Drosophila melanogaster: one gene and its partner. The protein of the gene in region 1 interacts with the protein of each later gene in a pairwise test. Each region holds a gene or a part of one and is shown on either strand. Other genes may lie near its edges. The genes, in order: Klf15 and CrebA.

What was found.
Region 2: the proteins of Klf15 (region 1) and CrebA interact in a two-hybrid assay, tested with the Drosophila melanogaster proteins (one large-scale study listed by BioGRID).

What each region holds. Positions count from the first base shown.
Region 1 is NC_004354.4:4,769,833-4,773,682, reverse strand, and holds Klf15 (Kruppel-like factor 15), read left to right. Parts: upstream 1-2,094; 5' UTR 2,095-2,165; coding exon 2,166-3,101; 3' UTR 3,102-3,126; downstream 3,127-3,850. Other genes in the region: CG15472 (uncharacterized protein), read left to right, coding at 3,609-3,850.
Region 2 is NT_037436.4:15,533,452-15,538,639, forward strand, and holds the start of CrebA (Cyclic-AMP response element binding protein A), read left to right. Parts: upstream 1-1,943; 5' UTR 1,944-2,950; coding exon 2,951-3,004; intron 3,005-5,188. UniProt on the Drosophila melanogaster protein: Transcriptional activator. Binds to fat body-specific enhancers of alcohol dehydrogenase (ADH) and yolk protein genes. BBF-2 may play a role in fat body gene expression. It binds the consensus sequence 5'-T[AC]NACGTAN[TG]C-3'.

The DNA of each region.
Region 1 (3,850 bases):
TTTGGCAATAATATCGTCCGGTTGTCGGCTTTAAGTCCTCGGATTTGCTTCGTAAATACTTGCAAACGGCTTCAAAATGTCCGGCTTAAATGAGTGGGAGTTTCGAGTTCTGGGTGCTATGATTAAACTGAGGTGACAACATTTTGCCGAGTGCAATTTACAGTAAAATTGTATGCATAATTTCCGTTATGACACTTGCGGTGCGCACACACACAGACACACACGCACACATTTGAACGGAGAAATTTATTTGCAGATAGATGGATAGATAGATGTGGTTACACATTCCCAAAACACTGCAGGAAAATTCCTTTTTGCAATTGCTGGGCGGACTAACCTCATCTAAAAACCACTTGATTTCAAATATTTCGGAATTTAATTAATATGCTGCAAAATGGTTTCAAAGGCGAACCTTATTTACAATCGAAGTTATATATCTTTTTATGTCCTGCTACCTGTTTCCACCGGTGCATGTTTGTATTGGCCTACGAATCTGTAAGTAAGTGGACGACCAGGCACTACGGCTAAATACCAGAACTGCCTGCAGGCAGCATTCTAATTTATGTTATCCTTGCCACTCCACTGAGGCCACACAAAGGGAAATTCTATGCACATATACAGAAATCAGAGTCGCAATACCCTGCTGTAATTACAAAGTGCCAGAGTCGAACTCACAGCCAGACTCCACAATTGAGAATACAGAATCCGGTATCCGGAATACAGAATCCCAAGTCCCGAGTCCCAGACCCGCAGACCAGTTGATATCCTTTAAATCCCTTTAATGCCGGCGCGCAGCCTTTGATTTTTGCAATATCAATTAGCGTAAAACGCGTAGGCCGCCAAAAACTGGTGAAACTGGTCGTGATTGGTGGGTTGGGGGGCATACCAGCCCATGAGGATTTACAGCTGCTGATTATTTCATTAGGCGAAAGTAAATTTAAACGCCAGCCGCACGTTAAATTTATGTTAATTTCCGAAGGGCTGCCAGCCAAAAAGGATGCGGAAATGGCATAGACGAGGAGCAAAAGCTAAGGGAAACTGGAAACTGGCACAGACAGCCTCGGAAAATGAGACGTTCGAGGGGGCGGGTGGGTCTAGTTGAAGGCAAATGGGTGGAATACTATATTACAGCTCGTGCAGGGTCACATTTTAATGCTGCATTCTTGCGCATTACAATGCACTTTAAGTGAATTGTAAATTGCACACCACTGTCTGTATTAAATATGAACGAAATGAGTTGTCAAAAAAAAAAAAAAATGACTAGCTATCAACCTTTTCCAACTGACCATATGCTGCAAATGGACCGTTGCCAAGCCAAATGATTTTCGAACAGAAAAATATTTTCAAACAGATAACTTTCCGTGAATTTAAAACCATATCTGCGGCTCCACTTGACACACATAGGAAACGCACTTGTTTTGCTTGGAACCGAAACACTGATGATCGACCGGGAATATCCATATCCATCCCCCGGGCATATCTAGTTCGCTAGTAATAATCATTAATTAATAACAAATTTGTATTGATTGTCCGGCGAGCAAAACAAAAACAAAAGAGCGAGATGGCGCACTGAAAGCGGGAGATCAGGTGCCGCGCGGCTATACATATATAGCAATATAGCTAGCCGATCTGTGGCCTGACACTGCTTGGCACTCGGCATCCGTCAGCGATTTCGATAGCATTGCGGATTCCCGGACCCGGCCACCAAAAACCCGGGCACATGTGTCGCCGATCAATGCGCGCAACATCTGGTGCGAATGGATATGTACGTACGTATGGATGTATCTTTATCTCAGTCTCGGACTAATGAAGCCGGCAGCGCGTTAGATACGTTGCTCGCCGGCTAATTATTCCCCAAGGGATCCTGGCCACCAATCACTGGAAGCAATCGAGCCACGATCGCAATGAGTGCATCTCTTGATACCCATTGTTCTAGGCAGATCGCAGGGTATGCTATACTATTGTACTTGTAAAAGAAACAATTTAAGTAAACATTCTTTTCATGACATATCAATATGATTTTAAGTACTTAGGGTATATGCCCTGCGATTCCCAACCAGATTCAATGGCTCTCATCAACTTTTCCGACGCCTGTCACTCATCCGGATTGTCCGTGGATATTATAAATATTTGGACACTCGACTGGAGTCCGCTCATTTGCGATCATGGACTTCTTTGCGACGGGTGGATTCCAGCAGCTTTACAGCGACTTGGAAGAGGAGCCACTGGCCGGCGGCGATGCGCTGCTAAATATAGTCAGTGTTGGGGAATTCGATAGCACCTATGTGGATACTAGCTTTTCCGGTGGCAACTATAATCAGCTGGAATTCGAGGAGTCGGATTATTATGGCATCATCACATTGGACAGTAATAATAATACAAATACTAATGGGAATATCCAGGTGGGTCTGCCCCACGTGGAGGATCCTTCATTGTTCATCGACTTCAATGACCTGACCGTATGTCCGCCGGACTTAAGTGATTGGGAGCAGCGACTGCTGGATAACTACGTAGAGATTCCGGACCTGGTGGACTTTCTGCCGGAACGAACTCCCCTGTGCACGGATAACTGTGCGGACTTTCTGGAGGAGAGCAACAGCAATCTGCGGCTGTCGGGGCCACCACATTCAGAGATTTTCGTTCCCGATCGATCGTCTTCCTCGCCCGGCAGCAGTGATTCCGCCAGTCCAGCTGAAGCTGTTGCCCCACCTTCTGCCCTCCAGATGAGTGAAAATGCCGCCGGCGAACGGGGTTACCTGTGCACCTTTGGCAATTGCGAAAAGATCTACGCCAAGCCCGCGCATCTGAAGGCCCATTTGAGGCGGCATCTAGGCGAGAAGCCCTACGTCTGCAGTTGGCCAGATTGCGTCTGGCGGTTCTCCCGATCCGATGAACTGGCCCGCCACAAGCGCTCCCATTCCGGCGTGAAGCCGTACAAATGTGACTACTGTTCCAAGTGCTTCGCCAGGTCGGATCACCTCACCAAGCATCGTAAGGTGCACGAAAGACGTCTTCTGGCCGCCTCCAGAGCTGGCAGATCCCTGATCTCCGACGATCTGTATGCCGTGCGACCAGGTCGAAAGCGAAAGAATCAGTTATGACCACATTCCAAGGACACGATGGATGAGTTAGTTTTAACGTTTTGTACTATTTTTTTTTTTTTTATCACTTAAGATTAGTTCGCATGGGAAACATATCCATAAAATAGAGCTGAAGTATTCCTTCTTTTGTTAGGAAAATTATCAAGAGTTTTATTTCGAATGGGAATATTGATGGTAATAATTACTTGCTGCTCTGTTTTACATAAATGAAATGTGTTTGCTGATTTAAATACGGAAATCATAAACCATTGATAAACTCATTTAGCAGAGTAAAGGAGCATATGATTTAATAAAAAGAAAAAGGGTTACACGCATGAAGTTAATTCATTACAAAAGTTAAATCGAATTTATTAATATAATGAAAAAGGCTAATTTTACGCGGCAGAGCAATTATATCCAACTAAGCAGTGATGTTTCAACAACAGTAGGCCGTTTGCATAGCTTCAAAAAATTTATTAGCGTACATTATATTTATATACTTAAAACATTCAACACAATTCGAGAAATATGGACCGAAATAAGCCACTCAGACTAATTGGCCTCTCCAGTACCGAGCCCGAAAAACAAACGAAACTTACACTGAACCATCTATGTCAGCTGCCAGCACAATGTCCCATAGAAAAATGCATTTCCACCGTTTTCAAGGATGATATGCTCCAACATTTGGCCCAACGCCATTTCCGATCAAATGTGAAAAAGCATTTGCAAGTGGCCTTCAACGGAGAACGCTGTACCCTGGTCTTTGATGT
Region 2 (5,188 bases), on another chromosome or scaffold:
TATACACAAAATTTTGAAACAAGAAGGGAAAGGCTACCCTTGCAAATTTACCATAAACCTCTTAAATTGACACCGAGAGTCAATTGATGTGAAGCCATGGAATCGATCAACTTTGACAAGATCATCTTAACCTTTTTCCCAATTAGAAAGTGTAACGAAATGTTTTTGGAAGTGAGTGCGAACAAAACGCTCTTCTCTATATCGAATACAGCGCACAAATATCTGTGTCATAATTCAGGGAAATCCACTACGACCAAACGAAAGGAGAAATCAATGTACTCAGCGACGAAAAAGAAGGGCGCACCAATGATCTGATCCCTCTCAGAGGCGTCTTGTTGGCCCAGCCAATTTACTATGTGGTGTAAGCCATATTGGGGATTTTCAAATTTGAAATTTTTAAATGAATACAATAAAATCACGTCAACAAACAAGAAATTAGTGGCCGAGAGCTGTGTGTATATTTTCAGCGGGGGTATACATGACGTGCACGGAGCACGGAGCTATAGTCATATACCTATGCCTCTCCATATGTATTACACAAGCGTTTTTGTGAAAACATCGCCGTTGTCATCGTCGTTTGTCTGCGCTGTATCTGTTGCCCGGGCAGCTTTAAACCGGATCTTTGGTTTGAAAGTACATTCACTTTGCGTCGTCGCCGTCGTCGCAGCATTGCAGCAGCAGCAGCAGCAACAGCAGCGACAGCAGCAGCAGCATAAGTCCAGGCCAGGCCCCAAAGATCCCCACAGCCATATCCATATCCATAGGCTCTGGCTCTCAAAGATCTCCGAACAAAACTCTTGGCTCCCAGCTCCGGCAAACAGCCTTCAAATGACTCGGCTTGGCCCGCCTGTGTTGGAATGGCCCGACTCTCTATGGTCTGCACATGTGCATAGTTCAAATAACTTGGTCAAGTTGACAAGATCAACGGAGCGAGTGTTACCAAGCGGCAGCAGCCAAAGTCGGGTCTGGTTGCAGAGCGGGGTACACCCCCCGTCCTATTCCATCGTGCATTCGGGCCAAATCAAATACTCGCAGCAACAACACAAAATCTATAATAAAAAACAGGTTAACAAATGTTGCCGCAACGCTGACGTCGACGCAGCCCATAGCGTCGGAAGAAACTTGTTTTCCTTTCCTATGCGGCTCCGGGTCTCAAATCTCAAATCTCGGGCCCCTGGTCTCCGATCTCCGGTCTCAAAACGACGTCAAAGCCGGCTTACGACAATCAACTTACATTCACTTCTCGAAACCCCAAAGAGCGTGAAAGTTTCACTAAGAGCACGCTTTTCGGGAGAGAGTCGGATACTATCGCATTTGGATTCGGATTCGATGCCGGCTAACCCGCATGTTACACAGTATCAAGGGTAGATTGGTGGCCAAGAACCATGGGAATACAATATTTGAAATGTATAGTACACGGCTTCAGTCTTCAGTTACAACTACCCCAAACACGTTAAGAAGTCAATAAATTCAATTAAACTATAGCAAATGTAACATAAGGTATGTGATTAGTTGACCTTTGGGAACGAAAAGCAACAACCCCAAACGTTTCCCGTAGATTAACGAATCAATAACACTATTAACACAGGATATTAGAAATACGATGTTATTTTGTAGCGATCTTTTCAAATTGAAAGAGTATATTTAGGCCATTTATTGTACCTTTTCTCTTCTCATTTTAATGAGGAAACATCAATTCATCATATCCTTAATTTAAATTTGTTATTTTTTTTATTACAAAAGTATCAATTGTTCGAGGTTTTCTGTATGAAATTCTGAAATTGCCGGCATTATAAGCGCAGAGAGAGAGAGACAAAGAGATAGACGGAAAGAGAGCGCTATACGTGCGGAAGAGAGACAAAGCGTTGTAGCGGAAAAGAGAGCGACTGAGCGGCGGCAGCGACGTCAGCAGAGGACTGACGTTTCGATTCGTTCGTTCGCATTCACAAGAATTTCACCGACATTTAGTTTAGTACCGTTTTTGGCTGCAGTCGCACTACGGACAGTTTATTCTAATTGTGTGCTACCATCCCATACATCCAAACATACAAATATTATTGCTAAAGTTAACGATATTAACTACACATATTAAATGCTATTATACACGGGCCGAGCAAAGCCATTTCTAAAGCGGTTTACTGCCCATTCACACACAAAACACATCAAAAAATTCAATTAAATCAATTGAAATCGTAATCGAGTCCAAAACACAGTACAGCGAAAAGAAAAATCAAATAAACTAAAATTATATGGTTATCAACGTTGAATCTAAACATACATATAATAACTATTTTCTATGAAAATCGAGTGTTTCGTTTCCGAATCGGGAAAAAAGTTAATAATTCAATTAATGTTAACGCCAAATATAATCCGACGAGAAAAGCGCATGCAACAAGTTAAATCCAGCCGACAGTTGTAAACCAAGTTAGATCCGTACACAGATACACCCCAAATACCACAACCAATACGAATGAATGCCCGGTATACACATACAAACGAAAAAGTCACACACACACACACACACGCAGACTATAACAATGTCAAGTGAAAACATTCTCTGGAAGCAACAGGTTTCCCCTTAATAAGTGTTATAAAGAAGCAACCAACAGTCATCACCCAGAACTGTTCTTTACGGAAAAAAAGTAAAGTAAAAAATAAAAGAGAAAGAGAGGTAGAAGAGCGCACGAGGAATAAAGAAGATAAAGTATAAAGAAAGAGAAAGAGCGGAGAAAGAGCCACTTTTCAGTCAGCAAAATCGTATAAAAATAATAGTATAATACCATAAACTACAAAAATTATAAGAAGACAGTTCTTAAGTGGGTTAAAGTAGAAAAATTAGTGTGACTGCAACCGAGTGGAACCGAATTAAACCATACCACACCATCCCCGAACCGCAATAAAAAAAAAACAACTAAAAGAGTTCTTAGAGCGCATCTGACTAGCGCCAACCATGGAATTCTACGATGGCGACCTCAAAGATATATGGGACTCCGACTTAGATCCGGTAAGTGTTCAAATTACCACTCCCGAGCACAATTAAAAATGCGAAAAGCAACTTGTACCCCCATATTATATCAGTCAGAACAGAACCATTGATACTTGAGAGCTTTTATTACAGCAGGTATGCTTGATATGGGCTATACGAGTATGTGAAAGTTAAAGCCGACAACTCGAACGCAACGATAAGAAAATGTCCGAGATATACATTGGTAGCTCTTATATGTATATTATAGCTCACTAAATTTTATGTGGCAATGCCCCAACTAAACTTGGTGAACTCCTTGAACTTCGATCTTTGACTACAGAGACATCTTCAATACGATTATTAAGTCATTTCGGTGTACATTTTAAACATGCAAGAGTCGTGCTTCCACGAAACGAAATTGCATTTTAAAAAATCTAAAGAAAAACACTTTAATGACCCACATTAAGCTTATCAGTTGGGGAGAAAAAACGTGAACTTATTCATGAGCTGAATTCTAAGTATGATGATCGATTTGAGAAAAGGAAAATGAAGAAACGAATTTCGATCTCCAGGGTCCCACGGAATTTAGCCAGTTTTCTTTTCTTTCTCTGCATATTAAGTGGTTCGCATTTATATGTATATGTATGCGATCACCTGAGAGAATACCGATCACCGACAAACTGGCCTACGATCAAACCTGTCCCAAGCCACCTCATAAAAATGTCCGCTCACCGCACCACCAAAATTTCGAATGTAAAAAAAAAAAAAATAACCGTATAGTGAAAAAAACAAACCAGAATCTAATCGAACTGCCCGGCTTCCAGACATCAGACACCGTAATATACAACACACCCAGAATCACAGTTTTGGTTTCATTTTCGTGGAGGACGTTCTTGGATTGCCGAACCCAATGGCATTACTCAATAGAAAAACAAAAAAAAAAAAACTTTGCCAAATAGATACGACCGATACGACCGAATCAAACAAACCCTCTAGTGCCGAAAGGAAAAGGCAGCTTTCAAGGCTTTTTATCTTGGCAGTTACGTGCTCGTTTTGGGAGAAAGACAATTTTTAGTGACTTTTTGTGTTCGAATATATCAATTTACATGGTTTTTTTTGATAAGCGACTGCGACTATATCTGGCATTCAGGAAACATTTCTGTTCATAACTTAGAAGTTTCGCTGTCCTACAAAGTTGTTTTGTCTTGGGTGGCGATAATGATAATTGAAGTTTTCCAAGAAATTAAAAGAAATTTATCATTAGCGAACGATTTCTGTTTCGGTTGTTTTGTCGTCGTAGTTCCATTCACTATCACCCCCGCAACTTGAACTACTCGTCGTACTGCAATCGTGAATTGTTTCAATATAATGAAATGAGTATGTGCCGGGCTGAGCTTCATTTGCGGAGTACTCATAGATGGAGATGCCGTCGTCTATTGCTTATCGCTGCGGAAACAGTAATGAATACATGTCGTCCGCCCGTCCATTCAGCCCAAGTCCGTCCGTTTCACTTGTTCTTGCTGTTGTACACGGTAAAAAAAAAAAACAGATCAAAATCAAATTTAGTAGATACTTACAATAATTGTATCAGTTTCAATTAATAACGTCGTTTTTTTTCGTACTTAGTGATTTTTTCTTAGAAATGGTCCGGGTTCAAGTATAAATAAATAAAATGTTTTTCACTTTGATAAAAATTAGCTTTAAAAAGCAACGGATTCAATACAACAAAAAAATTGTAATACATTTCAACGTAATTTAAAATTTCTGTCGCTTTCTTTATAACGATAAATTTGTATAATATGTTTCATAAATTTTCGCTCTCAACTTTTGCGCGCTGTGTAGAGGAAGCTCTGCTGGGCGAGCACAAAAGAAAAGAATCTATTACAGTTTGGGAGGAGGACACATGTGGAGTTGATAAGAGGCTGCTATCAGCTGGTCTAAATGCAAAGTAATGACTTTTTTCGCCTGCCTGCCTGCCTGCTGCTGCTGCTGCTGCACTTTGCAGCTAGTCAAATAGAGTATGGCTCGTCAGTGTCATTACTATTGGGAGATAATAAATGCGCGCCGGCGACTACTCGACTTGTAGACAATGTAGCCGGAGGGACAGAAATAGGCCCAATGCCCGGGAAAATGCGCGTGCAGTTTTTATTGGTTTTGTTGCATTGCGTTTTTTCCCGCCGTAAGCGGTACAATGTACCCGTACCCGGGGCGTGCGCTCAATTA